Alligator mississippiensis: one gene and its partners. The main gene of each other region encodes a partner of the protein of the gene in region 4 in a complex. Links are inferred from orthologs where the notes say so. Each region holds a gene or a part of one and is shown on either strand. Other genes may lie near its edges. The genes, in order: PIGY, DPM2, PIGP and PIGA.

The links.
Region 1: PIGA (region 4) and PIGY share a complex: the UniProt entries of both Homo sapiens proteins name them as parts of the glycosylphosphatidylinositol-N-acetylglucosaminyltransferase (GPI-GnT) complex. The link is inferred for Alligator mississippiensis from reciprocal best matches to the Homo sapiens genes PIGA and PIGY.
Region 2: PIGA (region 4) and DPM2 share a complex: the UniProt entries of both Homo sapiens proteins name them as parts of the glycosylphosphatidylinositol-N-acetylglucosaminyltransferase (GPI-GnT) complex. The link is inferred for Alligator mississippiensis from reciprocal best matches to the Homo sapiens genes PIGA and DPM2.
Region 3: PIGA (region 4) and PIGP share a complex: the UniProt entries of both Homo sapiens proteins name them as parts of the glycosylphosphatidylinositol-N-acetylglucosaminyltransferase (GPI-GnT) complex. The link is inferred for Alligator mississippiensis from reciprocal best matches to the Homo sapiens genes PIGA and PIGP.

The regions. Positions count from the first base shown.
Region 1 is NC_081825.1:151,545,339-151,551,203, reverse strand, and holds PIGY (phosphatidylinositol N-acetylglucosaminyltransferase subunit Y), read left to right. Parts: upstream 1-4,668; 5' UTR 4,669-4,727; coding exon 4,728-4,943; 3' UTR 4,944-5,354; downstream 5,355-5,865. Other genes in the region: PYURF (protein preY, mitochondrial), read left to right, coding at 4,263-4,417, 4,518-4,668. UniProt on the Homo sapiens protein: Part of the glycosylphosphatidylinositol-N-acetylglucosaminyltransferase (GPI-GnT) complex that catalyzes the transfer of N-acetylglucosamine from UDP-N-acetylglucosamine to phosphatidylinositol and participates in the first step of GPI biosynthesis.
Region 2 is NC_081835.1:57,214,429-57,221,941, forward strand, and holds the start of DPM2 (dolichol phosphate-mannose biosynthesis regulatory protein), read left to right. Parts: upstream 1-4,505; 5' UTR 4,506-4,604; coding exon 4,605-4,607; intron 4,608-4,711; coding exon 4,712-4,801; intron 4,802-6,421; coding exon 6,422-6,524; intron 6,525-6,789; coding exon 6,790-6,848; 3' UTR 6,849-7,513. UniProt on the Homo sapiens protein: Regulates the biosynthesis of dolichol phosphate-mannose. Regulatory subunit of the dolichol-phosphate mannose (DPM) synthase complex; essential for the ER localization and stable expression of DPM1.
Region 3 is NC_081824.1:295,040,197-295,048,102, reverse strand, and holds the start of PIGP (phosphatidylinositol N-acetylglucosaminyltransferase subunit P), read left to right. Parts: upstream 1-4,890; 5' UTR 4,891-5,038; coding exon 5,039-5,120; intron 5,121-5,126; exon of another isoform or gene 5,127-5,309; coding exon of another isoform or gene 5,310-5,352; intron 5,353-6,390; exon of another isoform or gene 6,391-6,443; coding exon of another isoform or gene 6,444-6,492; intron 6,493-7,586; coding exon 7,587-7,659; intron 7,660-7,906. Other genes in the region: E3 ubiquitin-protein ligase TTC3, read right to left, coding at 1-63. UniProt on the Homo sapiens protein: Part of the glycosylphosphatidylinositol-N-acetylglucosaminyltransferase (GPI-GnT) complex that catalyzes the transfer of N-acetylglucosamine from UDP-N-acetylglucosamine to phosphatidylinositol and participates in the first step of GPI biosynthesis.
Region 4 is NC_081824.1:322,975,231-322,982,126, forward strand, and holds the start of PIGA (phosphatidylinositol N-acetylglucosaminyltransferase subunit A), read left to right. Parts: upstream 1-3,886; 5' UTR 3,887-3,972; intron 3,973-3,981; exon of another isoform or gene 3,982-5,864; intron 5,865-6,222; 5' UTR 6,223-6,294; coding exon 6,295-6,896. UniProt on the Homo sapiens protein: Catalytic subunit of the glycosylphosphatidylinositol-N-acetylglucosaminyltransferase (GPI-GnT) complex that catalyzes the transfer of N-acetylglucosamine from UDP-N-acetylglucosamine to phosphatidylinositol and participates in the first step of GPI biosynthesis.

The DNA of each region.
Region 1 (5,865 bases), on a different chromosome or scaffold from region 4:
GAGAGCATAATACCAAGCCAAAGAGAAGCTTTGAGTTTCACCTGGAGTGGCTAGGATGGGGTAAAGGGGAGGTTTGGAGCCCTACAGAAGAAGACAGAATTCAAGACCTGAAGGATCATCTCAGGGTATTGCCTCCTATTAACAGTACCAACAAAGCTGTGGCAGGCGAGAAAAGTAAGATCAGTCTCCTGGCAGACCAGGTGATCCGAGATAAAGGTCCATCCTGTCACCGCCGGTGGGTAAATGAAATCTTGGCAGTGGCAGTAAGCCCTACAATATCTACAGTTGTCACACTGTCCTACCCCAGGGCACAGGAGGCAATTCCACCAACAGAGCCAGAGGACCCCAACTCCTGCCTGAGTCTCCATCTCTCAGCACATGGGTTCCCAGGCTTCTGTCTGGCTGACCTCAATTTAGATTCAGCCATATCTACAACAGTACATTTACCAGGCTCCAGAGCCACATCCTCAGGCAGGCTGCACTGCTCCAGGTGGCCACATTTGCTGAGTATTTCAGGCTAACTAATTAGTACTGTTAAGCGATGTTGCCAATTCACTTGCTATTCCCTAACTAGCCTGCCTGTGGCACTGAACAGATGCAGCTATAGTGTTTCCAGTCTAGGGAACAAGCTGTTCAGAGCAGCACAGCATGCTTGAGGGGCACTTTGGAGCACAGGAAGTCACTGCTTAGACTGAACCTGGTGGAGTACTGATACCTGCATTAATTAACTTGGTAATGTTTTACGCCCACGTGCAAATGTGTACACAAGGAACAAGCCTGCACTGTGGCTTGCTGTGCAAATTCCTGCTTAAAGGATAAGCAGGATTCTGATTTTGTTTCCAAAGCTGTTGGATCTTTCTGGAGGAGAAGAACAGGTTGGAGACACTGGCCATTCCAGAAAACTAAAGAAACATTACTGTAAATGCCTACAAAGTTAACCTTAAATATTACTTTATAAATGGTGTGATGCCATCTATTGGAAACTACAGGTACTAGCACATTTTAATTTGATGTACTAAATACTCAGCATTTTAAATTGGTCTGTTATATATTATACTGTGCCATGACCATGTGAGTTGTATTTTTTTTACTCTACTGCACAAAACTTTGTACTCCTAGAATGTGAGTTGCTGAATACAGTTAGACCTCCTTCTTGTTGTTATGGGAATAAGAATAACTCACTTGTTCTTTTGGTAGTGTCAGAGCGATATTGTAGTCATGAAGGTACAGAAATGATAAAACTATAAAAATGTATAAGCTGGCTGGACACTAAGAACCAAGGACTAAACATTGATATCAGACTTATGGCACATAATATTTTATCATTAAAGATGAATTAGGAAATCTTACAGAAGACTGATAGTGTGTGTAGCAGTCACATAAGCCAAAAAGTCTAAAAGAATGCAAGGATATTTCCTCACAGACGTCTTTAATACATTCAGGTAGCATCTCTCCCTATACTATGCATACCTTTCCCTATTCAGTCCATCTTGATGTGACTAATGGTCCTGGATTTTTTGAGACAGTCCTAAGTTTCAGGACTATGCTCTGGCATCCCCTGTGATTCCCTGAACTGGGACTTTCATCTCAAATATGAAAAAAATTGTCCTGGACTGAGGCCAGGCAGCATCCTAATCAAAACCAGCATTTGCAAACTGCACAATTGCACATACTCCCAAAACACATTCACTGCTGCCAGTTTCACAGATGTTAACAGCCACCTGTGCTGCTTCAGGGACCCTGGCCCAGATTTCACTCCTTCAAAGTTAGTTGCTTTAATTTCTCTCAGTCATGATCTATGTGCATCACTTCTAGAGTGTTTTTTATTCTACCCCCCCCTCCTCCTATATTTCCCAACTCCAGCTGGACACTGACCAAGAAACATTCAAGCAATTGCTGGATCAGGGGGCATAGGTTGACCCTGTTCCAGGAGTCCTGCAAGTATTTATGACACAGGGTTGGCCAGGAGGGAGTTAGGAACTTACGATGAATATCAAAACTGCAGGAATAGTCTCCAGCCCCTCAGAAGCCTGCCATGCCCTTGAGCATGCATCACACAAGCAGGCCTGCTTGGGAACTTTTCAGCTGCGGTTTTCCCTGGAGACATTCAGATCCTGGCCCCAGCCACGCTGCAGGAATAGCATAGAATTATAGAGAAGTCAGGCTGGATGGCGCTTTCCAACTCCCTAGTCCAGTGGTTTTCAACTTTTTTTTGTTTGAGGACCCCTAAAACAATTTGAATGAAAATGCAGACCCCTTTGGACATTTCAAATGATGGTGAGGACCCCTTTAAATTGTAAGTGTGGCTATTCACATACTTTTGATTGATCAGTCATCTTTCACGGACCCATCAGACATAGTCTGTGGACCACAGGTTGAAAACCACTGCCTAATCTAACCATCTAGTCCAATCCCCTGCCTGAGACAAGAACCATTCTATCCCCTGCCCTATCCAAACCATTCTATACAAATCCATAACCTAAACTCTTTGTAAAACTACCATCAACCCTGACACAACACAAGACATAACACAATAACCTGCCGTGGATAAAAAAGGGGGATCATGGCAGCCAATGTCCTGCTTCTATAAAAGGTTGTTAATATACACTCAAGAGATTCCAGATAGAGCCCCCCACCCCCCAGGGGTACAAAGGAAGGCAACCCCCCCACAGTCAGTACCAGTCTGAGCATGGGGTAAAATTCCGTCCTGCCCCCAACTAAGGTGATCAGTCTGAGGGGCATGACTCTTTAGCCAGGAACCTCCAGCTTTAAGTTCCTGCAGGAGTACTGGCACACCTCAAAGTCCCCAGTCTTGGCTGCAGCCAGTAACCAATGCCTCTGAGAAAGACTTAAAAAAACCCGGCCCTCACATGTAGCAGAAAGGGAGTGGGGGAGGTCACAGGGAATTCCCTCCTACCCCATGTGGCAACCAGCAAAGCCCAGAAGCATGAACATAGTAGAACATACAATAGAACATAGTATAGACAGTCACTGAGAAGGAGATGGGCTCCACCTAGTCAAGGTTCATTTATGCTCAACCTTTCTGCCCCATGGTCCAGATGGGCTGGGCTTGGTTTGTCCATGGGCTGGATCTGGATGGTGGACCCGATCCAGTGGGAGAAGTAGGTCCTGGCCACATGGAAGGGAACAAGGGGGGCATCATTGCCATGATCCAGCCATGCAGGATGAGGGAGCATAACCCAGCCCTGATCTGGCCACATGGGTCTCCAGAACTTGGCATGGGAGAGGGGTTGCAATGTTAATTGCCACTGCGCCCTCACCACCAACCTCCCTGACCCTTGTGGAGCTGTATGGGCTGGATGCCATGACTCCATGGGCCACATTCAGCCGACTGGCTAGGAGCCGAGCACCCCAATCTAGTGCAATTCCCAACCAAGGGGCCACGAGCTCCTTTTGAGGGTGGTGTGTGGGACCTTGCCATGCCAGCACTAAGAGGCATTCAAGCACCATTCATGAGATAAACCCAGGGATGTCAAATAGGTATCTGCCACTGTGGCCTCCCGAGCTCTTGACTACAGGAAAAAACCCAACCCTCCTCTTATTTTTCTGTAGGCATAAGAAGAGAGCTGCGATTTTCCAAGGTGATCCAAAAAAAGACTGAGCCCCACTGATCGAACCCTGCTGCCTCCAGCACAGTGCCCCAGGGGCTGGGAGTGGGTGCTTCTTAATGTGAGGAATGCTGACATCAGAAAATACCAGTATGTGGGTAGCTTCCCAACTAACACGGGAGCATGACCTTTTGCATATGCAAAATCCATCCCGTCTGGACGTGAAAGCAGCTGCTTGTGCCTCTGCTCCCCGCCGCGAACGCTTCAACTCCGACATTCCTGACTTCACACCTTTATTCACTGGGAATCAAAGGGAAAACATGACCGAAGCCGCCGGACTCAAAAGTCCAGGCCAGCACCGTGCAGACTCAGGGCAGGGCCTTCCTCCGTAAACACCTGTAGGTCTCGTTTCAAAGCCGCTCTGAAACAGAACTGCAGAGCTGGGCCCTTGGCGGGAGAGAGCCGGGCCCTGTCAGCCTGCAGCCCGGAACACCTCAGGGAGAGACACAGAGAGAACACCCCCCCCCCCGCCAAGCCCAGGTACCAGATGAAGTGAACGGGCGCGGGTGGTGGGGGTGTACACACGGCCCCTCCCCCCGGAACCCAAGCGCGGGGCGGTGCGCGGGCGGAGCGGGTTCCCAGCGCGCAGGAAGTGGCGCGAGCAGGCGGGCGGAAGTCGCTGCGCGTGGGACGATGCTGGGCCGGGCTGCGGCGCTGCGCAGGGGGTTGCAGGTGGCGGCGGGCGGGACGCGTGGGCCGGACAGCGGCCGGGGCTCTGCGCAGCCCGCCAGGCTGGACCCCGCGCTGCTGGGGCTGCTCGTGTGCCCGCTGTCCAAGCGCCCGCTCCGGTACGCACTTGTGTGAACCCACGCACACACATATGCACACAGGTGTGCAGGGACTCTCCTCCTTGAATCCGCAGCCCTGACCTGTTCGTTTTTCACGCAGGTATGAAGAATCCACCAACGAGCTGATCAACGAGGAGCTGGGCATTGCCTACCCGGTGGTGGACGGCATCCCTAACATGATACCGCAGGTGGCGAGGAAGATAGAGGCCGAGCCCCCTCACCCCACTGGCGAGGAGTCAAAGCAAAGCTAGATAGTGCTGTCCCAGAGAGCAAAGCTAGAGACTGAGAGGCTCATGTGTGAGCAGTAGTCATGTTCCTGTCACTGCCTACACTGACAGTGCTTGTCCCGCTGCTGTCCTTGGTTGGCTTGTTTTATTCGGCCACCATGGATGAAAACTTCCCACAGGGCTGCACCAGCACCAGCAGCTTATGTTTCTACAGTCTGCTGCTTCCTGTTACGATCCCCGTGTACGTGTTCTTCCACCTGTGGACCTGGATGGGCATTAAACTTTTTAGACACAACTAAGGCAGGCAGACAGCCCGAGGGCACTGCCCAGTGAGCTCATCAATCACAGGGCCTCTGTGCTAGTTGTGTAGCTTATCTTAGCTGTACACTAATATTATATTCCATGTAACTGGGATAGTCTCTTCCTCCCTTGCTCTCTCTCAATAATGATGACCTTTATCACCCTCTTCCTGGCACTTCACAATGATCTACAGAGGACTTTGTGTATGACTGCTTAATTTCTGCCAGGAAAGATAATTAAGTACATTTGTCCTTGCCCCTCAAAATCCAGAGGTGCACTGTAGTAGTGTGAAAGCATATTACAGTGGGTGTTTGTCTTTGCCCTGAATGACTCCATCTACTGACTGAGATACAGTTTAATTACTTACTCAGGTTGTTAATAATAAACAGTAATGTGGGCTGCTCTTTAAAGATGGCAGTGTCTGTCTTTAGGTGCGTTGCTAGGTTGAACAGATTTATTCATGAAATGCTTCTGGCACTGTGCTATGAAAATGCAGTGTAATCAAAACACTGTGCAACAGCAAACTTGTCTGTGCAAAGATTTTTTTAAATCCATGTGAGCTTTAGACTTGTTAGGATCACTGCAGCCATGTTTTGAGGGTAGTCATCCATGCACATCCAACACAGCACACCTTTTTAGAAAAAAAACCAAGGTGGGGTATCCATGTCACTCTAATATGATTTCCTTCTAGATCAGCAGGTCTGGCACAATTATTCAGGCAAGAAGTGCCATGAAATAGTAGTTTGGCAGCTGCTTTAATTTATTCCAACTGGCAGTGGCCTGTAACAGCTGACAATAAGGCAATAGGCTCAAAAATGCCTTCTAACACTCCCCCTTGCTAGCTTTACATTGACTGAGGAGATGCAGTACTGAGAACAAGTCAGGATTGGGACGCTGACCCACTGAAGTACCCACTGCTCT
Region 2 (7,513 bases), on a different chromosome or scaffold from region 4:
GTAGGAAATTTGCATGCTACTAATAAAGTTACCTAATGGCCCTAGGGGTTAATACTGATCAGCTAAATGTAACTGTATTCTTCAGGGCTGCTGCTAAGGGCTGATGATGTTAGCTGAACTGCCTCCAGCTGTTGCTTAGGTTTGTTCAGCAGCTTAAATTCAAGCTGCAGCCCAAGCCTGGACACTTGTCAAGGTTTAACCAAGTCCCTGCCATTGATGTGGCCAGTTGCAGACACATCTGCAGGAATTCAAAGCATAGGTGTCCCCACAAAGGGTGCTGTGAGGCTCCTGCCTGCTTTCTCAGCTTTTTCTACATCAACGTTTTGTTCAAGCATTTCAAGGCTGCATTTGAGGAGCCAGCTTGGGCAAGTCTTGGGCCTGTCTGCAGTGATGTGAAGGCTCAGGTAGCCTGGGGCAGGGATGAAGGCCCAACTCCCAGAGTCTGCTCCTGTCTGCTGTGTAGGAGGTGGCCGGTCTTGGGTGACAGTGCTTTTGAAGCAGGGCTCTATCTTCTTGCATGGTTCTTGCAATCATCAAAACCCGCTAAATAAGTCTCTGCATCTGAGCTCCTCTGGAGTTCATGCTTTCCATGCGGTTTCCTTCCAGTGAGCTGACCTTAACCCTTTCTCTAAAACTTGTGGCACTTTGGTGGGAAACAACAACTTCTTAGGAAGTGGGAGGCTTGTTTTCTCACTCATGTGCCCTTGAGGGAGGGATGAGCAAAACCACAGGCAGTCCCATGAGAATTCAGGCCTTGGTCCTGCCTCTTTGAGGGTTAGAAAATAAGTGGAGAGCAGATTGGTGCTACCAAACTAGGGAGCATCTCTTTCCACAGGTCCCATTGTTGCTGCTGCTCGCAGAAAGACAAATGTTTAGTACTGACTGATGGGAAGCTGAAACACTTCTCCCCCACACCCTGAACTCTGGAGCCTTTGGCCGTAACTATGTACATCAGATCTCTGTTGCTGGCACTGGGGTGGCACCTAGAAACCCTAGCCAGGACCAGGGGCAAAAGCTAAACAGAAAGATGGTTCCTACTCCGAAGAGCTTCTAAGCATGATATGGGCCACAGGTGGGGCAGGGGTAGATGGGGTGCAGGGCTGGCTGCTGGCTTCTTATCCTATGCTGTCCCCTTGGCTTACATATGGGGAGGGGATGGAATAGAGACATTCACACCTGACCTGTGGCCACTCGCACACGGTGCCGTGTTTTGTCAGGACTCTTGCACTCTGGTGTTTTCCACCATCTGCTGTGGTTTTATTCCCCTGCCTGGTACCCTGAGCAATTCCTTACCCCTGGGTCTAATGCCACCACCTGGAGCATCCCAGCTGGAGCATCCCCTGGATGTCGGTGCTCTGTCTGCAGCACCAGCCCCATAAGCAATTCCAGAGGTGTAAGTGTAAAGTATGGAGCTGGCGAAATCTGCCCCAGCCACCTGTGAACCACAGCAAGGGAAACTAGGCGTTTTGGTCTAACAGCTGAGCTGCCCCAGCCTTGCTGAAGGGGGAACCTCTTTTCAGACTCTGCTGCCTGCTGGGTGAGCTGGAATCTGGCTGGGTTTTGCCATCCAGCCAGTAATGGTGTTGCAGGACCTGCATTGGAGCCGCTGCTCAGGGGTGATGGGGATCCTGGCAACCCTGTGCATGGGGAGGAGGGCATAGAAGCCTGTGGCCAGAGATGCTTTGGTGAAAAGGAAAGCAAAGTACTGCCCAACTCCTTGTGCAGTGAGCACCAGCCAGGCCAGGCCGTGTGCACAGCCAGGCCAGGACTCTGGGGAGAAGCGATGCGTGATCTCAGAACTTAAGGTGAGTGTCCAGGGGCAATGAAGATGGCTTGCTCAAAGTGCCCCATTTCCCAGGTCCTGAGTGCTTGCCCTTGCACGTCTCATGTGCTGCTTTTTCTGTAGCTTTCTTGTGTGTAACTGAATCTAAGTGGACTACGGTCCAGGCCTCCCAGTCTGCAGCTGGGTCTCTTGGCTCACTCCAACCATTTGCAATATGGAAAATCCCCATACAGACATGCCTTGCCCAAGACTGGCCAGCTCCCTGGGTCATCTCATCATTTCCCACCCAGATGCCAGCAGAAAGTGAATCACAGACTGCTCTGGATCTAAGCAGATCTTATGAGCGAAGGGAAAGTGCTTCTATTGTTCCCCAGAGAATGTGGCTTCTGCTGTACCTTCGTGGAGGTTGGGGCTAAAGTTCCGGCTTAGAGGACAGAAGGTAGAGGGCTACAGCTGCACTGAGCAGGTCTGCTATGACCTGGGCAGGACCCATGTCCTTGGCCTGGCAGCTGCTGGGGCAGGCACAGGGGCTCTGAATAAAAATCACCAGTTTGTGTGGGCTGGCATGGTTGGAGATGCAAGAGGCAAAATGCAAGGATCTGCAGTTGAAATGAGCCAGAGTCTTTGAGGGGCTGCTGGGCTGGGCTGGAGACAGACCAGGGGGAGTGTTAGCACCACCTAGGGAGAGTGGCTGCTGCCCCCACACAAGAACCTGTCCCAGTCCCACCCCAGCACGTCCCAGAGGAATCCCGGAGCAGCTTCCAATGCCTTGGAGGCCCTAAAAGCCTCCCTCATAGCCCTGAATTGGTCTCTGCCCCTGCATCCCTACCCCCAAATGTGGTGATCCTTTGCTTTATGCTCCTTGGCCCCCACAGGGGTTGGGTGACCCTGATGTGCCTTTGAACTGTGTACAGCAGTCTGTCTATGTGTGTGCAGAACCTGCCTCTGCACTGGTAAGCACAGACCCAAAAGCTAAAAAGAGCCAAGACTGAAGAACTGGGAGATCCAAGGGGAAGGGCAGGAGCCCCAAGACGTGACCACCCCCATTGTCCTGCAGGAAAACGCAAGTATAGCCCTGCATGGCTCCTAGGGGCAGAGCTCCAAACCGGAGCATTTCCCTGGCTCTGCAGACCCCAAGGTGAACCAGCCCCTTGAGACGCTCTGTCTTCCACCTTGGCCATGCAGGGGCATCCACTGCCAGGATAATTGCCACATCCTACCCTGATGGACAGGCTTATTCCAGATTTAAAGTCTTCAGCTGGGGAATTCCAGTGTTTTATCTCATGCAGTGTGATCAGGGTGGCAAGCTTCCTGACGTAGACACTCTGCCCCCAGCACAGCATCTCCTTACCGTAATAAGTAACAGTGAGAACGTGTGTAGCATTGCTGTAATTGAGTTTGTTGTTCTCGTCAGCCATGGCCAACATAGTGGGTGGCTTTACCGTGGGAGCTAGGGGCCCTGCAAGAGGAAACGGAGGGCTGGGCAGGGTGGAGCCGGATTCTTTCCAGAACTGCTCGGCTCCTGCCTGCGTCACAAATTCTTTCTCAAATTTCCTGCATGCTGCCCTACCCCCGCTCCCCCCAGCCACGTTGGAGGATTTTACGTGTATGTTGTGAACAGATCGAGGGAACATTTTCAAAAGCACCTAAGTGATTAAGGATGCCAAGCCCCACTGATTTTCACCTCTGCAAGTCGCTTCTGCAAATAGGTCTGCACTGGGGTTCCTGAGAAACCTCTCCAGCGGGACGCAGCCCCGCTCCTGCCTGTTGGCTGTAACAAACCTCTGGCTTTGTTGACTGTCTCTGAATGGGTGTTTTCTGCTCCCTTCACTGTGGCTGAGCTCAGTTTGGCTCCCGAGCAGCTGGGCTTCCTCCTTGCTTGACTATTCAACACATGGCCATCACTGGATCATGCCAGTGAAGCTGATGGGCTCTGAACAAGGCCAAGACCTCCTGCCCCCTGTGCACCAGGACCTTCCTTGGAGGCTCCTTGGCCGTCCCCTTCTCCACAAGGCAGGGGCAGAGGCTCACCTGGATACCCCCGCTCGCCCCACTGAACAAGCAGCAGCCCAGGGGCAGCACGTGGGCTTAGCCCATCCTGCTCGGGGAAACGGGAGACGAGAGCGGGGAGGCGCATGGCTGGGGGCTGTGGCTCTGCTGGGCCTGACCTGGTGGGAGGAGGGCAGAGGGGAACAAGGAGCGCGGGGCTGGGTTGTAGGGTCCCCTTTGCGCCCACGGAGCCGCCCCAGGGCTGAACCCCACCCTCTGCGGGTGCACGGGTTGGGCTAGCGGAGCTCCAGCCTGGCCGGCTCACGAGGCTCCGTCCTGCGAAGGGCTGGACACGGGCATAGGCAAATTACAGAAAGGGGAATATTTTTTCCTTTGTGCAATTATTATTCTCATGCTCTCTGGCAAATTGGGGCCCGATACTAAAAGGTTTTCCAGGCAGGGCCACCCAGGGTGCAGGTGCCGAGCTGGCTGCACTCCCTGCATCGCTGCCACCTGCCAGCGGCCCTCGCTTGCAGCAGGACAGCTCCCTACCCCCCATGGCAGCCAAGGGGTTAAGCCTGGGGACTACATCTCCCATCAGGCCCCGCGCCAGGCGGGACTACGGCTCCCATGAAGCTTTGCGAAAGAGGGGACGGGCGCCTCCCGTCATGCCCCGGGGAAAGGAAAGGCTCGCGGATGATGTCTCCCGTGGTGCAATGCGGCTGGGGTCAGCTCCCGTCGTGCTCCGGGGCCGAAATCCCGGCCGTGGATTGGGCAGCGGCTCCCGGAAGTGGGCGGGGCGGTGGTAGGGGGGTCGGCGCAGCGCGTGGCCATGGTGAGGGCGGCCGGGCCGGGCCGGGCCGGGCCGGGCCAGGCCAGGGAGGGGGGTCGGGGCTCGGGGCGGGCCCGCTCTGACCGCCTCTACTCTCCCGCCCACAGGCCACGGCGACGGACCGGCTGGTGGGCTTCGGGCTGGTGGCCTTCAGCCTCGCGCTCTTCACCTACTACACGATCTGGATCGTGGCGCTGGTACGGGCCCGGCGGGAGGGGCTGCCCCGGGCCTTGCCTGTCCCCCCCCCCCCCCCCCGCGCGTGGGGGGCGCGGGGCACGAGCTGGCAGCGCTGGAGGGGCCGAGGGGTCACCGCCTCACCCCGCGTTGGGCTTCCTAGTCAGGGGGAAGCAAGAGCTGCCACAGGCGCCCGCCTTGGCCGTCGCTGGCAGCTCCAAATAGCCCCCGGCCGGCTCGGGGGCTTCAGATAGGGGCCGCGCTCCCATCGCCGCGCGCTTCTGGGGTCCCCCGTTTCCTGGGTCGAGTGAGCAGCGACTGAGCCGATCGCAGTCCTGGAAAGCCTCACAGACGCGTAGGGAATTGGGCGAGGAGCATCGTGGGGTGGAAAACTGTCCAGCGCTTTATTTTTCCGTGGGAAATTTTCCATTTCTAAAAATTCATCGTTTCCTAAAATTCGTTAGTAACAACGAAGGGATGCCAATGCCCTGTTAGGCAAGCTCGGCAGTGTCAAAGTTGTCATTCGCGTGTTTCGGGTGATTATCCCTAGGAAGTGTGAGAGAGAGTACATATGTTTTATTGATGTGTAAATACACTCACATAATCCTCCAATCCAGAAATCAAGTTATGAATTCACCTGATTGGCTGTGCAGGTCAAATCTAAACCAAGTCATGGCATCTCATGCACAGTTTTTGGGTGTGCTAAAATTAGTGTGTCAACATTTTTCAGTGCCTCCACTGTCTTTTCTTAAATTTAAACAATGTAAGGGAAGTACGTGCTGTTGTATATTGCCTTTACATTTTTACAAGTATGCCAATAAAAGTAATTTTTTTTCCACATCAAAGCTCTGCTTTGAATTTGTTTGAATGTAACATTTAAATCACATTAAGTGTGTTGTAGTTAATTTTTTTTTAATTAAATATTCCAGTTAAAATACTTGTGGCTGTCGAGACATAAAATTAACATGGGGTGTTTTTTTAGTTTTGCTTACTGATATACATCAAATAAACGTGTTAAATCAGATCACGCTCTATTTAGGGCATTGGAAAAATTTCCAGAAAATTTTCCAATTCAAAATTTTGTGGAAAACCCACATCTCTGGTGAGGAAGCGTCTCTTTGAGCCTGCAAGGCCAGTCTGGAGACTTGCTTCAGTTTGCTTGGCATGTGGATCCCTGACAGCTCCTGGCCGTGCTGTGAATGGTGCTCACTTCTGACATCCTCTCAGCTCGTTGTTCTGCGGCTGCAAACTCAGTATGGTTGGGTTTTTTTCATTGTCCCTATGCCTTGCTGTCAGCCCACGTGCTGCTCTGTAACGCTCAGTCTGTTCTAAGTTCTGTGAAAGATGATCTTTGCCTTGTGTCTAAAACAAGGCAAATATTGTCTCTGTTTTGCCCAGTGAAGCATGGGAGACGCTCACCAGGTTGAGCAGGTTGTTCAGTGCCAGGCAGCTAGTCAGAAATCAAGACAAGCTTTGGAGGGGTGAGTTCGTGGCCCCTTGGCTCTATTCTCTATCCATCAGCATCATTGTTAACTGTCAGTCTTAAGGCTTGTACTTCTGTCCCTACAAGCAGGAATGTCTGAGTGCTGGCAAGTAGCTGCATATTGCCCCAGCTTGCTGATGCCCCTCTTTGTTTCTTGCAGCCCTTCATTGATAGCAATCACGGGATTCACAAATACTTCTTGCCCAGGGAATATTCTGTTACCATTCCTGTGGTTGCAGGGCTCCTGCTGCTGCTGTTCATAGGTGAGTAACATTTCTCTTCTGTTTTGGGATCAGAAATCTGTTATAGAAGCTGGTTGGTCACTGTTGGCCCAGCTACTTGGAAGCAATTGCCACGTGACCTCTCTTACAGCCCTGCCTACTCCAGCTGTGAGCTCCTGCACAGTGGAGCTGCCCTGGTCTCATCCTGTGAAGTGGTTCTGTTCCGCATAGCAATGGTGTTTAGAAAGCTGTAGTACTTATAGGGTTTTTGGCCATTTTCTTCACATTTTTTCTTTCTCTCTCTCAGGGACTTTCATAGTGATTGTGATGTGGAAGAACAAGAAACCTGCCAAGAAATTGAACTGAAGACAGTGGGCATGGGAATGGGCGCAGGTTCCTACCTGCAGTGTCTTGATGGGGCCAAGACTTTGACCTGCAGTAACAGGTGGCCATTTCCTCCCGCAACCAAAGACTCTTTGTGTTATAGCCTGGATGCTGGGCCTCACCATGCTCTTGGCACTTCCTACCTTGCAGAGCACATCCAGCCATTTGATCAAATGAAAGAGAAACTGGCTGAATATCATACACATCCAGACAGGGACCAGAGCCTCGGCTTTAGTGAAACTACCTCAGCTCGGGCTGACCAGGACAGACTGACAGCTCGGGCTGACCAGGACAGCTGACAGCTCGGGACTCTGCAGTCGGGGAGCTCTGTGCAGCCTCCACTTGCCCTGTGTTAAGGGGAGAAGGCAGCACTAGTGAGCAGAACAAATAGCTGGCTGCCTGGCTCCATTGGATCTCTGCCTCTGGCAACACCTCTTGCTCTGTTGCTTTATTTTTTGTCCTTCAAGTGTTTATTTTAGAGTTTACAAATCAGATCTATTATGTGAAAAACCAAGAGATTGTGGACCAAGGCTGGTAGCTAGGGACAGATTCTCTTCTTACTTGCCTGTAGTGGGTGCAGCAAACCTTGTTTTGTGCTAATGGTAGTCATAGCACTAGGAGGGTTGCACGGAGCTCACCCAGGCTCT
Region 3 (7,906 bases), about 28 Mb from region 4:
TTTAATGCAGCCACCATAAAAAGCAATGCCAGCAAACTCTGAGTCAGGTAGAGATTTTTCCATGGTTCATGATCCTAGAAAGCAAAGCCAAAATATATGAAAAAAAATCACCTGTTATGCCCCTTTGACAGGGTTTAGAATGGCTGCAAGATTAAGTTATAGCACGTTTCATAACGTGTTCCCACACCATACCTATCATTTGAAAGCCATAAAAACCAGGGGGGGATGTTCCAATTAATAGCAAAGTAACCAAAGTATCTGAACATTTTGTATGAAAGTTAAAAAAGTATCAGACAATAAGTACCAGTCCACAGTAACAATCTTACAGAATTTTGGTCTGTGATTAGGGTGTAAACATGCTATGATTATAGCTAGTAACAGTGAAATGCCTGGCATTATCTAATAGTGTAAGAATGATGTTGTAGCCATGGTAGTTCAGAAATTATACAAGAGGCAAAGATTTCTTAGGGTGATATCTTTTATTGGACCAACTATGTAGTTGGGTAAAGTTAGACAAGCTTTTGAATTTAAGACATTCTCTCTCAGGTCTGATCATAAGGCCTGGCTCCCTGTGATCAGACCTGGGAGAGAATGTCTTGCACTCAAAAGCTTGTCTAAATTTATCCCAACTACATAGCTGGTCTAATAAAAGATATCATCCTAAGAAATCCTTGCCTCTAGCATTTCCTAGAAATTTTAATCCGGAAAAGAAATAGAGTGAGTAAAGGGATTTTCACACATTGAAAGAGAACAGCTTTAATCATGAAGAATCTATGCTACAAGTTATTCTGTGGTTTGACATAAAATTTCTACCTGCTCACCCATCCACCCCCCATCCCAAATCAGTCTGCAATACTGTGGAGTGAGGTCCATTGCCAGCGACAAGACGACCTTCGGGAAAAATACTGGGCTGAGGGATTGCAGGGAAAGGATGAGTGCAAGATCCCCAGAGGAAAAATTTAACAAAATATCGTGGAAAGCTGTCCACATAACACTGAACTAGTTCACAGAGCAACAGTTCAAAATAATACCTGCTTATCTCAATATACTTTTGAAACATTTTAGGAAGGTTAAGCTGTTCTAAACTGGCTTGTATGTCCAGATGCTTGCAGTTCAAACCACATTTTAAACGGTCTGTGTCTGTCAGTACCTTTTATAACCCTACACGCAATGCAACAAAAATTCCAGTTAGTAAAATACTTAATGAGAAATACAGGCTGTTCCTGAACCTAATGAAAACTAAATACAAGTATACTCATTCAGGGCACCTACAGGAGCCCACCTACTCTGACACAGGCTAATTAGCATGTGTCGGAACATGGGTCAGACACCTGTGTAGGTGCCCTGAATAAGTTCACTTGCATTTAGTATGGAGTCTGCTGGAGCATGCTAATTAGAGCTGGAGCTAGTCAGTGTGTGCTAATTAAGGCTCAATTAATGGAGCTGGATTAATTGAGTCTGCTGGAGTGTGTCTATTAGGTTGTCACATGTATTCAGAGTTCCCATACTTCAAAATGGTGGCAGGAGCCATGCTGAATATATAACATGATGTGGGTGTTTTAATGAGAGCGGCTCTCAGGAGTCACTTAATTAAAGTGCCCCCCCACCCCAGCGCATGTAAAGATGCCCTCAATGACTGACAACAGGATGCAAGTAAACATTAGGAATAAAAAACCAACCTGTAAAAGCATTAGATAAATTTATCTGGGGTTGTATATACCCAGGAGACCCCCTCTACCCATCCCTGCATAACTATCCCTTAAACTATAAGTACCATAACTGTTTACACAACACCACAGTGGATTTGATTTAAATCGTATCAATTTAAATCATGGCTGAAATCACAGGACAGGAAGCCTCAATTTAATCATTGTTTTCTACAAAAAGTGCATCCTTGTTGTTTGATATCCATTGTTTGAACAATGCTTCTTTGGGATAGTTCCCTTTATAGAGCGCGCGCGCGCACGAGAGCGCGCTTCCAGTTCCGCGTGTGGGAAAAGTAGTGGCCTAGAGATAGCAAAAAGTATGGTATACCACTGAATGAGGTTCTAGCTCATTCGAGTGCCAATCATATGGAAAGAAGTGCCTCTTTAAAGGTGTCTCAGTCTCAGTGTAGATTTCAGAACTGGTGTTGGCACTGGTGTGACAGCTTCTGGGTTGCTCTTGCCCCTTCTCTGCATTACCAGTACCCTTGCTCTCATCGCTTAACATTGCGACACTTAAAAGATTTTTCTTGGCTTGAGTTCACCTTATGGATGAACATGTCATATGCTCCAAGATGCACCTCAGACTTGGTACAGGTATATCACCTAGCACCTAAGGCCAACAGCACAGGATTCCTTTCCCGGGGTCAGCATCAATATTGCCTGTACCAATGTTACTCTAGTCAGAACTGCAGACCCTAGTATCAGAGCCAAAAGTATTGAGGGTTTTTTTTGTTTAATTTTCTCCTTTCTAAGATCAGGTATAATGCCTGCTTGCCAGAGCACTTTTTAAAGATATCCTCCAAGCAAGAACTGTGGACACTGCTTCCTGTACCAGACTAAATATGACCTTCACGAACTACTCCAAGGAGTGTGCATCACAAACCTCGTGTCTCTCAAGCAGCAGACAGAGCACTTGTTAGAGATGTACTTTTCTCTGAGGCAGAAAAAGATGTTTCCTGTGTCCACTGATAAGAGTAAAAAGGTCATCACAGGAAGGATAAGTTAAACTCCATGGTTTACAGGCCATGACACAGGAACAGCTGGTCACCCTACTGGCTTTTTTTTTTCCTGGATGTTCCATAGCAATTTTTGAATGAGAATTTAAAAAGAGGTCAACAGCTGTTTCTTCATAAACACCAAGTTCTCAGCTCAAGAAAAACAGAAACCCATGAGATACAGCCAAGGAGTTCTGTTGCTAACACTGGCAGTAAAATCACCCTGAGAGAAGGTGAAATCAACTCTGCTACCTACTCACAAGAGAGCATGAGGTGATAAAGATGATAAAGCCACAACAATTCAAAAAATTCCAAACTCATTCATGTGAGGGGCTTGCAAACCAACAGCAGACAAAGCTACTTGAACAACATGCTGTTCTGGTTCAGAAAAGATGTGAACATTTTCTCCCCCTCAGGCCCCTCCTCTGTGCTCACTTCCCCCCTCCCCCGAGTGGCTGGCCTCCCTCTCTGCCTACATTTTTCTCAGTTTGGCCTGGATCAGCAGGCTATAACACTTCCTGTTTAACAAAAAGCTGATCTGGGTTACAGAATCCTTTTCAGGAACCCATAACCAATGCAAAAAGCCAGAGTGGCTCAAGACAGCTTCTCAAAAAGCAGCATAATCTACTTTGCTCATCAAAATCTAGCAAGAGGCATTAAAATAAAAACAGCAAGGGAGAAGGTATTTCTCACTTAAACCCATCCTGGCACTAAGGTTGTTGGCTGTAGCCGTATTGGTCTAAGAACACAGGCAGACAAGGTTCTTTGGGTAGATGTGATCTCTTTTATTTGACCAACTAGATAGCTGGAAAAACTGCATTTAACCAGCTAGACAAGGCTCGATCTTTGGCTCAATCTGATGTCTTTTATTAGATCAACTTAAATAGTTGGAAAAACTTTTCTTAGCAAGCTTTTAGGTTTAAACCCTTCATCAGGTAAACACCATTTTACCAGCTACAATTATCACCAGGTCAACATTCCCCCTCCCCCAACCACCCTCCTGTCTCCCATTGTCATTCACACCTATTGTCTCCCATTCTCTCTGATCCTCCCTGCCAGGCATTTGCATTTGCACAGACCTGCTATCTGCACACTGGCTTCTCTTCTACCCAGGACAGCACACAAACACCAACAGACTCTCCCCATGCCTGAAGAAGGCTGCTTGTGCCCGACAGCTTGCAAAGAACAGTTTTGCAGGGTATTTAGTCGATCTAATAAAAGATAATCACATCTACACAAAGAAACTTTGGCCCTCACCGTTTTGCAAGATGCTGAATCGTATGGGGGGGAGGGGGAGAGGGGGAAGGATGCCCTGCCCCTTCAGCAGCTGCCTCTGCTAACCACAAACAGCTGTAGCCTGCAATCACCCCCACCACCAACTGCCCTTTAACCAGCACGGTACACCCCCTCACGCAAATCCCGGGGGAATTGTGCAATCCAGACCGGCCACACAGGCGAAGCCACCCATCGCACCCTAAAAACATCAGCCCGGCTCCCCAAACCGGGTTTGTAGAGGCCTAGTGACTAGAAGTAGCTTCCAACCATCTTTCACGCCAAGGCTTGCGGAAGCACCCGAGACCACAGGACCTCGGAGCCTCCGCCTGACCCGAGCAGCCCCTGCCTGCCTTCCTCCACGTGGCAAATGGGCTCCCCCACAGCCACGGGGCGTGGGGGCTGTAGCCAGATCCCACCTCAGCCTCGGCCCGGGCCCCAGCCCTGCGCGAAGCCAACACAACGTGAGGGGGGGGGAAGAGAGACAGGAAATGACAAACCGCCGCCCGCGGGACCCCTACTCACCGGCTCAAGGCTGAGACTCCCAGCAGCCGCTGCACCGCCGCTTCCCGCCCGCGCCGCCGTAAGGGACGGGTGGGGCTCCCGCGGCGCAGCACAACAACTCCGCCCCAGGCGCACGGACCCCTTCCCGCCACCCTATTGGCTGCCCGACTTCTGACGTCAGGAACGTAAAGCATCGATCTTCGCAGCGCCCCCGGGCTAAGGGGGGCGGGGTGGAATTGTGTTAGGTTTCACTCGCCTACGCAAAGGGCCAACCGCGGTTGTTCGCGCGAGAGGAGGGGGGAAAAAAAAGGCGGGGGAGGGTTCGGTTCTCTCGCGCATGCGCGGGTGGTGACGACACTTCTGTAAGGCGGTGAACAGAGGCAGCGGCAGGACGCTTATAGGCAGGGCATAACGGGCTGGGGTGACGTAGCCGATGTTACCAGCCGATTGGACGCGGGACGGCGCCTGCGCAGCGGCCTCCCCACCCTTTCTCCTTCGTCAGCTGGCTTCGACCCGAGGTGGTGACGTCAGTCCCCCGCGCGGAGGCGGGACCGGGCCGCCATGGTAGAGAACTCGCCGTCGCCGCTGCCCGAGCGCGCGCTCTACGGCTTCGTGCTCTTTCTCGCCGCTCAGTTCGGCTTCAGTAGGTGCCGCGGGGAGGCGAGGGCGGGGCCCGGCCGGGCAGACGCGGCCGGAGCTGGCCCCGCAGGGCCGGCGTTGCCGGGTGCACGATAATTATTCGGTTTCTCCGATAATTGGAACCCTTGTACGATGAGCACTCAGTAATGGTAATAAGCGTATTCAAAATGTCCGATCGTTTTTGAGGTAGCGGATGGATGCAGCAGATGCAAAACCCATGTCACTGTCGGGGAATTGTAAGTGATGTTTGGGTTCACTGTCAGCGCTCGCCTTACAATAAAGAAATGCTTCAACTTTTGACTTATTGGCGACTTACAGTGAGCAATATGAAGTAAAGAAGAAGGCTTATTTGCATATTTGTCACTGTACAATAGTTTTTCAGCAAATATGATAATTTACTATTTAGGACCTGGCAATGCTGTCCAGGACAACCCCAAGCTTTGCTTGGCCAGGCGGGCCCAGGTGCAAGCCCAGCTGGGTCTAGTCTGTGGCCCCTGTTTCAGCCACCTCTCCCTCCATGGTCCTCCCGCTCAGAGGGAGGAGGGTCTCTGTTGCTGAAATCGCCCCTTGCCCTGCCAGACTGCCTGCCTTAAGCCAGCCTCAGGTGCCCCGGTGAAGAGTGGTGCCTTGGACCTGCCTCTACACTTTATGCATGACCAGGACCTTGTTCCTCTGCTGCTGGGGTTTGCTGTTGGATAGATCAGGCAAAGCTGGGTCAAGATTGGGGAAGCCACATCTGAAGTCCTGCATCCAGTTTTGGGCCCCTGCTGCAGAAAGTAGATGGACAAGTTGGAGAGAGTCCAGCAGAGGGCAACAAAAATGGGTCAGAGGTTGGAGCACAGGACTTGTGAGGAGAAGCTGAGGGAATTAGGCTTATTTAGTCTGGAGAAGAGAAGACTGAGGGAAACTTGATAGCAGCCTTCAGCTACCTGAAAAGAGGTTTGAAAGAGGATAGAGCTTGACTGTTCTCAGTGGTGACAGATGACAGAACAAGGAGCACCAGTCTCAAGGTTCAGCAAGGGAAGTTTAGGTTAGATATTAGGAAAAACTCTCTCAGTAGGAGGGCAGTAAAACTTTGGAACAGGTTACCCAGAGAGGCGGTGGAAGCTCCATCCTTGGAGGTTTATAAGACCCGGCTAGACGAAGCTTTGGCTGGGATGATCTATTTGAGGGTGGTCCTGCTGTGAGCAGGGGGGTTGAACTAGATGATCTGTGGTCCCTTCCAGCCCTAATTTTCTATGATTCTATGAATCAACCCTTGTCTCTTTTTTTAGCTTTAAAGACTAATTTGGAGACCTATGAGATGTTACTCAAGTAGTTCTCAACCATGGGCTACTGTGACCCCTTTAGGAATGCTGCTGGAGTGTCATGCAAAGGTAGCACTCTTAGGTGCATGCACATGATTACCAAGATAAACCCAGTGACTTCAGACAGTAATCCAATGCATTTAAAATCATTCTGCCCCTGTTGTGGGCTTTCTGAGCTCTCTGCAGGAGAAGACTTGCTCAGTTGTCTTTCTGTAATTAAGAAAGGAGTAAAAGCTCAGCGTTGACATTTTCCAAGGGGTGCCTTGAGTCTAAATGGATGCAGGGGAGGGTGCCTCAAGTCTAAAAAAGGTTGAGAACTGCTAGGCTACTTCATAGCATCTGCCAAAATAAACTGTTGCCCTTGAAAGCCCAGGTTAGTTTCTGAGGCGCTGCCCTGCCTTCTACAAAGAGTTGTGTGCATGATGCTGTTTGTGGGGTTGTCCTTCTCCCTGATATTTTGGACATGCTGGTTAGAGGCTAGCGAAGCTCAAAAGGAGTAGTCAAATTTGTGGGTGATGAAACTGTTAACTGTTATTAGAGCAATTGGAGGTGTATCCTCTGGCATCTCTAAACCAATGATGGTAGATGCCAGGGATAGGATGTCTATCACGCCAGACCAGGCTGGTCAAAACGTTGAACATCAAGTGGATCACAACTCTGCCCACCTCTAGACCATACTGTTGCCGCCACAGGATCCTGGCCCTAGAGCAGCTCCCATCCTGCCACACACCCTGCCAGCACTACTGGGGCCAGTCTCCATGGAAACCCTGGTCACACACTGTCATAGGCCCACAGCTGCTGGGATCTCCACGGAAATGGGCCACAGCATGCTGGAAAATAGAATCCAGCCACCGGCTAGATCCACCATTTTGCCCACCTCTGCTTTAGACATACCTGTTCCAGCCTTTAGATTTATCCCTCTAAAGCATCCACTCCTTTATCCATCAGAGGCAAGATACGAGTCATTGGACTAACCCAATATGGCATTTATGGTCTAGTAAGGCCTTATGGGAACTACTGCTGTAGAGCAAGTTGTCATTCATTATTTGAATGATTTCTAATGACACTACTGTAAGTGCTTAGAACTGGGGGGTTTTTTAATTCTGAAATAATGTTTATTTTACCATTGTGATCAAAATACTAACTTCACTTCTTCTGTACAGTGCTATACCTTGTGTGGGCATATGTTCCTGAATCCTGGTTATTCTCATTGGGACTAACATACTGGCCTCAAAAGTAGGTTCAAATCATTTAGTTTATAAAACTATCCTTGTAAAAATACTTGATAGTCTTTGAACCTTTTTTTTTCAAATAACAAAACTAGAAATGTACCAGTGCTATTTATGTAGCATAATAGGTCTTGCATTTCATCCAGTTTGAAAAAGAAGACTTACTATTGTTCCTCTGACAGACAACTGGAGTATTTTTGCAAAAACTACCCTCCACAAATAATAATTTGCCCTGAAAAATTATCACTGAGCTA
Region 4 (6,896 bases):
CTTCTGGACAGATAACACTTATCAGTGTAAATCTGAGCAAAGGAGTGGCAATAAGTTTCTTCTCACTGAAGGTTTAATGTCAGGGCTCAGGGCAGTGAAAAGAATTCAGGATGATGGCTGACGATGAAACCTTTTTCTGGGAAAGAAGGTAATTCATCACAAGAGCACAGGAAAGAATGATTTTATTATAACTGTAGTCACAAGTCGAGCAACATTCTATCCAAGGGACCTTCATCCCAGCAGGGGAGATGAGTGCCCAGGTTGGCAAATACTGCAGGGTTTAAAACAAAGTTCCTGGAAGTCAGGAATATGGACAAAAGAAGATAGAACATGGCACATTTCACAGCATGTGAACACCCAGAGTGTAGAAATGGTCTATGTGGTCTTTGTTGAGCTAGAAAAACCATTGGGCCCCTTCCCTAAGAAAATCCTTTGGGGGAAATGGAGGGAAAAGAAAGCACCAGAAAAACAAACTGACTTAGTAAAAGGAAAGTCCCTGGATGAGAAACTCTCTGGAAAGGAAAACAGGTTTTCCCTTGGCTCTTCAGATAAAAAGAAGTGGGCTATCACAGTGATGGGAATCTCATATGAAGAGGGGTTGTAGAAGGAGGACAAGAAAACATCTGAGAATAGCAGAGTGAGCTTGAGAGCACAGGTCTCCAAGTAAATCCAGCAAAGTCAGAGTCCATGTCTATGGAGATGAAGATGTTTTGAAAGATGTAGACAGAAGCTTCCAGTGACTCCTAGTGAAAAGTACTCGGGTTCCAGCAGGTACATGTACGTCACAGCAGAAGAAGCCAAGGAAATGCACAATCTATGTGTGGGAGCACCAGAGGCTGATAAGACTTCCATCACCTTCTGCTGGGGCATCAATGAATTGGAGATGATATGAAAATACTGGGAAGGCAAAGGAAGATCGTGTTGCTAAGAAATGGCTGAATAGGGAAGCATCAGGAGTCAAAGCATGGGGAAGACTTGGGTGAAGGCAGTTAAATGAAATGAAGGAGGATATATTAATGTGAAACATGAGAGGCCTCATAAATGACACAGCAGTGGGGAGGATGTGGATTTCAACCCCTGGCCTTGAGGATGAGATTTGAAAAACAGGGAGAAGACAATAAGCTTTAGAGCTCATGTGGCTCCAGAGAGAAACAAGGAGCAGAACTTTACCCAGGGAAATAAGAGCTTGGTAATTCCTCAGCTTCTAGTCCTGATAAAGCTCCTTGCCTTCATCATCCAGCAGCTCCCACTCCTCCAGCATGAAACCTCTGGGAGTTGCAAGCACAAGCATTGCACCATCAGTGTCTCCTGGGCCAGCTGCTTTCAGCCCCAACAGTCCTGTCTGCAATCATTCTGCACTACAGCTATTTCCAAGCTTGGTCGTGACAGGCAGTGGTGCAAAGCTCCCCATCATTCAGCTGATGTGCGATTGGGGATTCAGCCGTGGATGCAGGAGTTCATGTATCTGCCCTGGCCCAGCTTATTCCCTTCTATTTCCTCAGTCTATGGAAGAAGCGCTGGTCCCATGGACTCTGCCCAGGCCTTCCTGTGCCAGTACCTCTGGCCATTGGCCCTTGGCAGTGAGCTCCGGCTAATGACTGCTTGGTGCGTCTGCAGCCTCTGACATCAGAGGCTTGTCACTCTGCAGGTCGCTCCGCTCCACACTCTTCCCTGCACTCCTGGTTCTTCCTGGCTCTGCCCCAGGTGCACCTGGTGCCCTGCTCACCTCCAGGCTCTCCCTCGGCTGCCAAGGCCTGCACCGCCCCTTCTGCACTGAACCCGGCTCAAGGGGCAGGGAGCCCCTCTCTCCCAGGCTCCCTGGGGATGTCCTCTGCAGCACACAGGCCCTTCCTCACCAGGCTGCTGCTCAGCTCTGCTCAGGGTCCTGGCCCCTGCAGGTGGGGAACACAGTGCACAGGTTAGCCCTGGCTCTGCGGGCAGTGGGGAGCCCTGCTACTTTTCTGTCCTGGCTTGGGACTAAGGCAGTCAGAGGCCTCAGCACATGGGAGACAGGGGAGAAAGAAGACTCAAAGCCCCACAGTTCTTGCTAATGGGCCTCCGCAGGCTTGGAGCTGGGGATGAGCCCCGAGTGACTTTGTCGCAGTGCGGGGTAGGATCACAGCACCATGGCAGAGCTGGCAGGGACATCGCTCCCTGGGACACAAGCTCCAGGGACCTTAGTATTGTGTCAGCATCCAGCTTGTAAGGGCAGGGGAGGGAAATGCAAAGTCCATCTTCTCCAGAGCATATGCAGGACTACCAGGGCACGGGGAGGAAAGGAACAGCTGATCTGGTGTAGCAGACCTCATCAAATGTCCTGGCAGACTTCTCCACTGATGGAAGGTGCCTGCTGCTACTAGGAAGGGTAGAGCCACTGCTCCATCCCAGCCCTGGGGGAAGGGCCTGGTCTAGGGCACCAGCCTAAGGCACCTTTATCAACTGATGATTCCCAAGTCTCGGTTTTGGGGCAGTTGGCAGTAGGACAGAGGCTTGGCATGAGCTGGACCTGAACCAGGCGGATATCCCTGGGGAATCTCATTTCCCGACATGCACCCCAGCCCCTTTGTGGGCACATGTGGCATGAGAAAGGGGGCAGGGAGCACTGATTGCAGGAACATGAATTAGGTCCTTGACTGTTCTCATGGCAGCATGACAAGCCCCCCCCCCCCCGGGCAAAGCCTCTCTCTTTTGGGTGCTGCACATATGCAGGCAGAAAGACCAGAGCCCAGCCTGGAAGCTGCTACCACAGAGGCAAGAGCTCTGTGCCACCCCAGAGTTACAAATACGGTGGCCCTGTTGCAGCCGGTGCAGATGTTCGAGCCCCTCCCCCTGCACACAGGACAGCCCCTCAGGCACCCAGACCCCTGCTTCCAGTGTGTTTGCATCCAGTCCCATACCTGGCTCCTGCTCAGGCAGGGGCTCCTCTTCGGGGACACGAGGTAGCTTGTCCTGAGCCCCTGGGGTGCCCTTCTATCCTCCCTCCTTCAGAGCCATGTCTGTACCATAGGCCTTTGGCTGCTTCAGCCAGGACTCGGGTCCCTGCAGTGCCCTCCTGGGCTGCACCTTTTGGAGGACATCTCAACCACCTTCACGCTCCTTGTGACCTGGGGACAAGAGCCATGCATCACTGGGAGCTGGGAGAGAACAGCCCCCAGATGTACAGAGATGGGGACAGCAGCATGCAGGGGTACACACTCTGTCCTGGGGCTTCTTGCCCGCTGCCTGCTGCAGCTGACACCCCCGGGGCCAGGCGTGGCACCAGCACAAGCCTCCATACTGCACTGCCCACCCCCAGCCCTGCATTTCCTGGGCCAGGAGTCCCAGGACCTGCTCCCGCACCACCATGCCCAGCTCCAGAACATGCTCCCTGCCAGGCACTGGGGCCCAGCCAGCATTGCGGTGCCAACGTCCCACAGCCCCTTGCCCTGTTGGCAGCGGGAGCTCTAGCGCCAGGTCTCTGGGGCGGGAGGTCATCTGCCGGGGCAGCTGCATGGTCGGGGGCATATTTCCAGTACCAAAAAAAGGGGTGGGGGGCAGAGAGGGAGGGGAGAAATATATGATTATGGGAGGGGGGGCAATTATATGCCCTGCCCCTCACTCCTAAGCGACAGCCCTGCTAGTGCTCCTCACTCTTGACCCACAGCCCTCTTCTCCCCCTAGCCTGGCAGGTGCCCCTCGCTCCCGCCCCGCATCCCCCTGCTGCCCCGCCCCCCCAGCTGGGAACCCTACTGGCGAAGAAACGGTTAAAAGAACGGGCAGTCACTCCCGACTCCCGACGTCACTCCCTTCCTTCCCTTCGCCGATAATGGCGGGCGGGTCCCATTGGCCGCCCGGCCCCGTGCCCGCCCTACACATCCGGCGCTGGGAAGGGAAGGGCGGTTACTCGGGCGACAGGAGTGGTCTTGAGCGCGCGTGCTCGAACCGCTTCTCACCCGGAAGTGGGGGCCAGTCGCGTGCGATGGGAGCCGGCAAGTGCGTAACGCCGTCCCTCTCCCTCTACCAACCGTCCCCTTCCCCTTCCAGCGGGGCCGTTCGGTTCGGTACGGCTGCGCCGCGGTGGACTGAACCACTTGGCAGCGTTCGCCAGGGTGTGGGTGGACTCGTCCGCGGGGGCACAGGAGTGACCCATTCCCGCCTGTGAGCGGGGCCCTCGTGCTAGGGGGACTCCAGGATCCCCCTTCATGTAGCCCCCGTCTCAGCCCTGTCCAAAGTGCCCCGAGACCTGTCCCCCGACTGGACTACAGGGGCAGGGCATCAATGCTGGGGGAGCAAATTGTATCGCTGCAAGTCCGCCCCGGAGCAGGGCGGGAAATCGCCTTCCTTGGAGGCTGCTTTGGGCAGGCCTGTTGGCTGGTTTGGAGGGCGCCCAGCAAGGAGAACCACGGGCACCTGGGGGAGGGGCTGGTGCTTTAATTAGAGTTCTTTAACAAGAGCCGCTCTAATGAAAGCACCGCTACATCTCGTGTATTGGTGTCTACGCGTGTCAACATGGCAGCGGGGGTGCTTGAACTCAAGCTCATTGAACCAGCTTTCTTGGGTGCGCCCCCGCTGCAGTTTGGAAGTGGGGGGACTCTGATACATGAGACGCAGCGGTGCTTTGACAACATCTCTGCACTGCGGAATGGCCCCGAGGGCGCTTGAACTGAAGTTTGTGCAATGAGCTCGAGGTCAAGAGCCCCTGCTGCTGTTTGGAAGCGTGGGGACACCGATGCATGAGATGTGGCAGGCTAAGGGGCCCCACAATTGCCACGCTCCAAACAAGATGGGGACAAATAATACTAAAGAAGAAAGGGATGGGAATGCTAGTCAGAGCTTAGTAACAAGAGTGCCAAAGGGAAACGCCAAACAGAGCACACTGGGCAGCACCCACAGGCCCTTGAACGAGTCCAAGGAGTCAGTGGACACTTCCTAGTTAAGCTCTTCCCAGAGATGTAAGTGGATGAGGGACAGAAAACTGACCCCAAAGCCCCTGGTGGAGGTCTTCCTGGCCAGGGCCTCCTTCCCAGTCAGATGGATCGTGAGCTTGGCTAAGGGCAGGAGGAGGTTGACCAGGATATCCTGGGGCTTGGTGGGGCTGTAGATGGGGAGCATGTAAATGAAAACATGCAGAGAGAAATGCAGCCAGAGTTTCTTCAGGCAGGACTCGAGGACCTCAGGAGGTCTGTGCCAGCCTGGCTGCTCTAACCTCTGTGACTTTCATCTTCCTCCACCTGGGAGAGTTGAGAAAAAGCACCTCCTGTGCCACGGCAGGGGGCAGGGGTTTGACCAGCTGCCCCTCAACGTTCTTTCCAACCCTATGATTTTGTAGTTGCACGACCTGTAACAAAACCAACTGGTTTTGTTTAAATGTCTCGTATTGTAGTCATAGATGGTTTCACTGTAGAAAGCATGACATTGTCTTGCCAAGGCATCTGCAAATATAGATTTGTTTGTTGGGGGAGGTTATTTTGTATTTTGTTTTGTGCTTTTGTTTAATTTTATCGGAAACTCCCTTTGGAGTTGATGAATAATATGAACGCTGATTACATGCCTGGAACCTCTGGTGTAAGCATATAGTGTAGAAACTCAGTCACTCCCTAGGTTGTGTTCTTTTATTTCCTTTTCCCCTTCCAAGTAGGGACTTTGCCCTTGTTACACAGTCTAATGTTCTTTGGGAAGTGCTGTGTGGCTGTGAGAGTGCTTCGCAGAATGAGAATGCTTCACACGGTTATGCAGCTTTCGTGGCAAAGCAGCAAAGTTCACTGGTGACTAGCTGATCCATCCTGCGGATTATCCCCCGTTCTCTATTCCAGTGTTGTGGTGTCTTCACAGAATAGCTGCAGCAGGGGATCTAGTCTTCTGCCTTCCTCCTGACACTTCTTTTGGTTGGTTGGTTGTTTTTAATCTCCTTTGTTTAGGGCTTGTGGATTGAGGGGAGGGAATCACAGCGAGCCTCAGAAATGAGAGTACTTCCCTCACCCAACAAACGTTATATTTTACTTGCTATATTTTTATTGAAAATGTGTCAAGGCCAGGATGTGCCTAGGGAAGCCAGCGCATTCTACTGTACTTGTAACTGAACAAACATTTTTACTTTGCGTGGGACTTCTCAAAAGCTAGTGCCAACCTTGAAGAAACAAATGGTTATGATGCTATATCATGAATGTCCTGGTGGAAATAACAGTCTTGAACTGTGTGCTATTTTATTTGTGTCCATAATTATTTTCTTTTTTCTCCTTTCAGATTTGAGCCTGCTTTTTACCTATATACTACGAATAGCTACTGGAAGGACTGACTGTTAAACTTGTTCCAAGTATGGCTTGCAGAAAAATAGGAGATCAGGAGCAGTCTCTCACTACTGCTTTCTCTGTTGTTAACTGTGGGAGACCCCCAGCATGGGGCATTCGAACGCACAGTATATGCATGGTATCTGACTTTTTTTACCCAAACATGGGAGGAGTGGAAAGTCACATCTACCAGCTGTCACAGTGCCTGATTGAAAGAGGGCACAAAGTTATAATTGTCACTCATGCGTATGGAAATAGAAAAGGCATTCGTTATCTCACCAATGGTCTGAAGGTATATTACTTGCCTTTGAAGGTCATGTACAATCAATCTACTGCAACAACACTCTTCCACAGTCTACCTTTGCTCAGGTACATCTTTGTGCGAGAGAGAGTCACCATAATCCACTCCCATAGTTCATTTTCTGCCATGGCTCATGATGCACTCTTTCATGCCAAGACAATGGGCTTACGGACAGTTTTTACAGACCATTCTCTCTTTGGATTTGCTGATGTCAGTTCAATACTCACAAACAAACTCCTAACGGTGTCACTGTGTGATACAAATCACATCATTTGTGTCTCTTATACTAGCAAGGAAAATACTGTACTAAGAGCAGCACTGGATCCTGA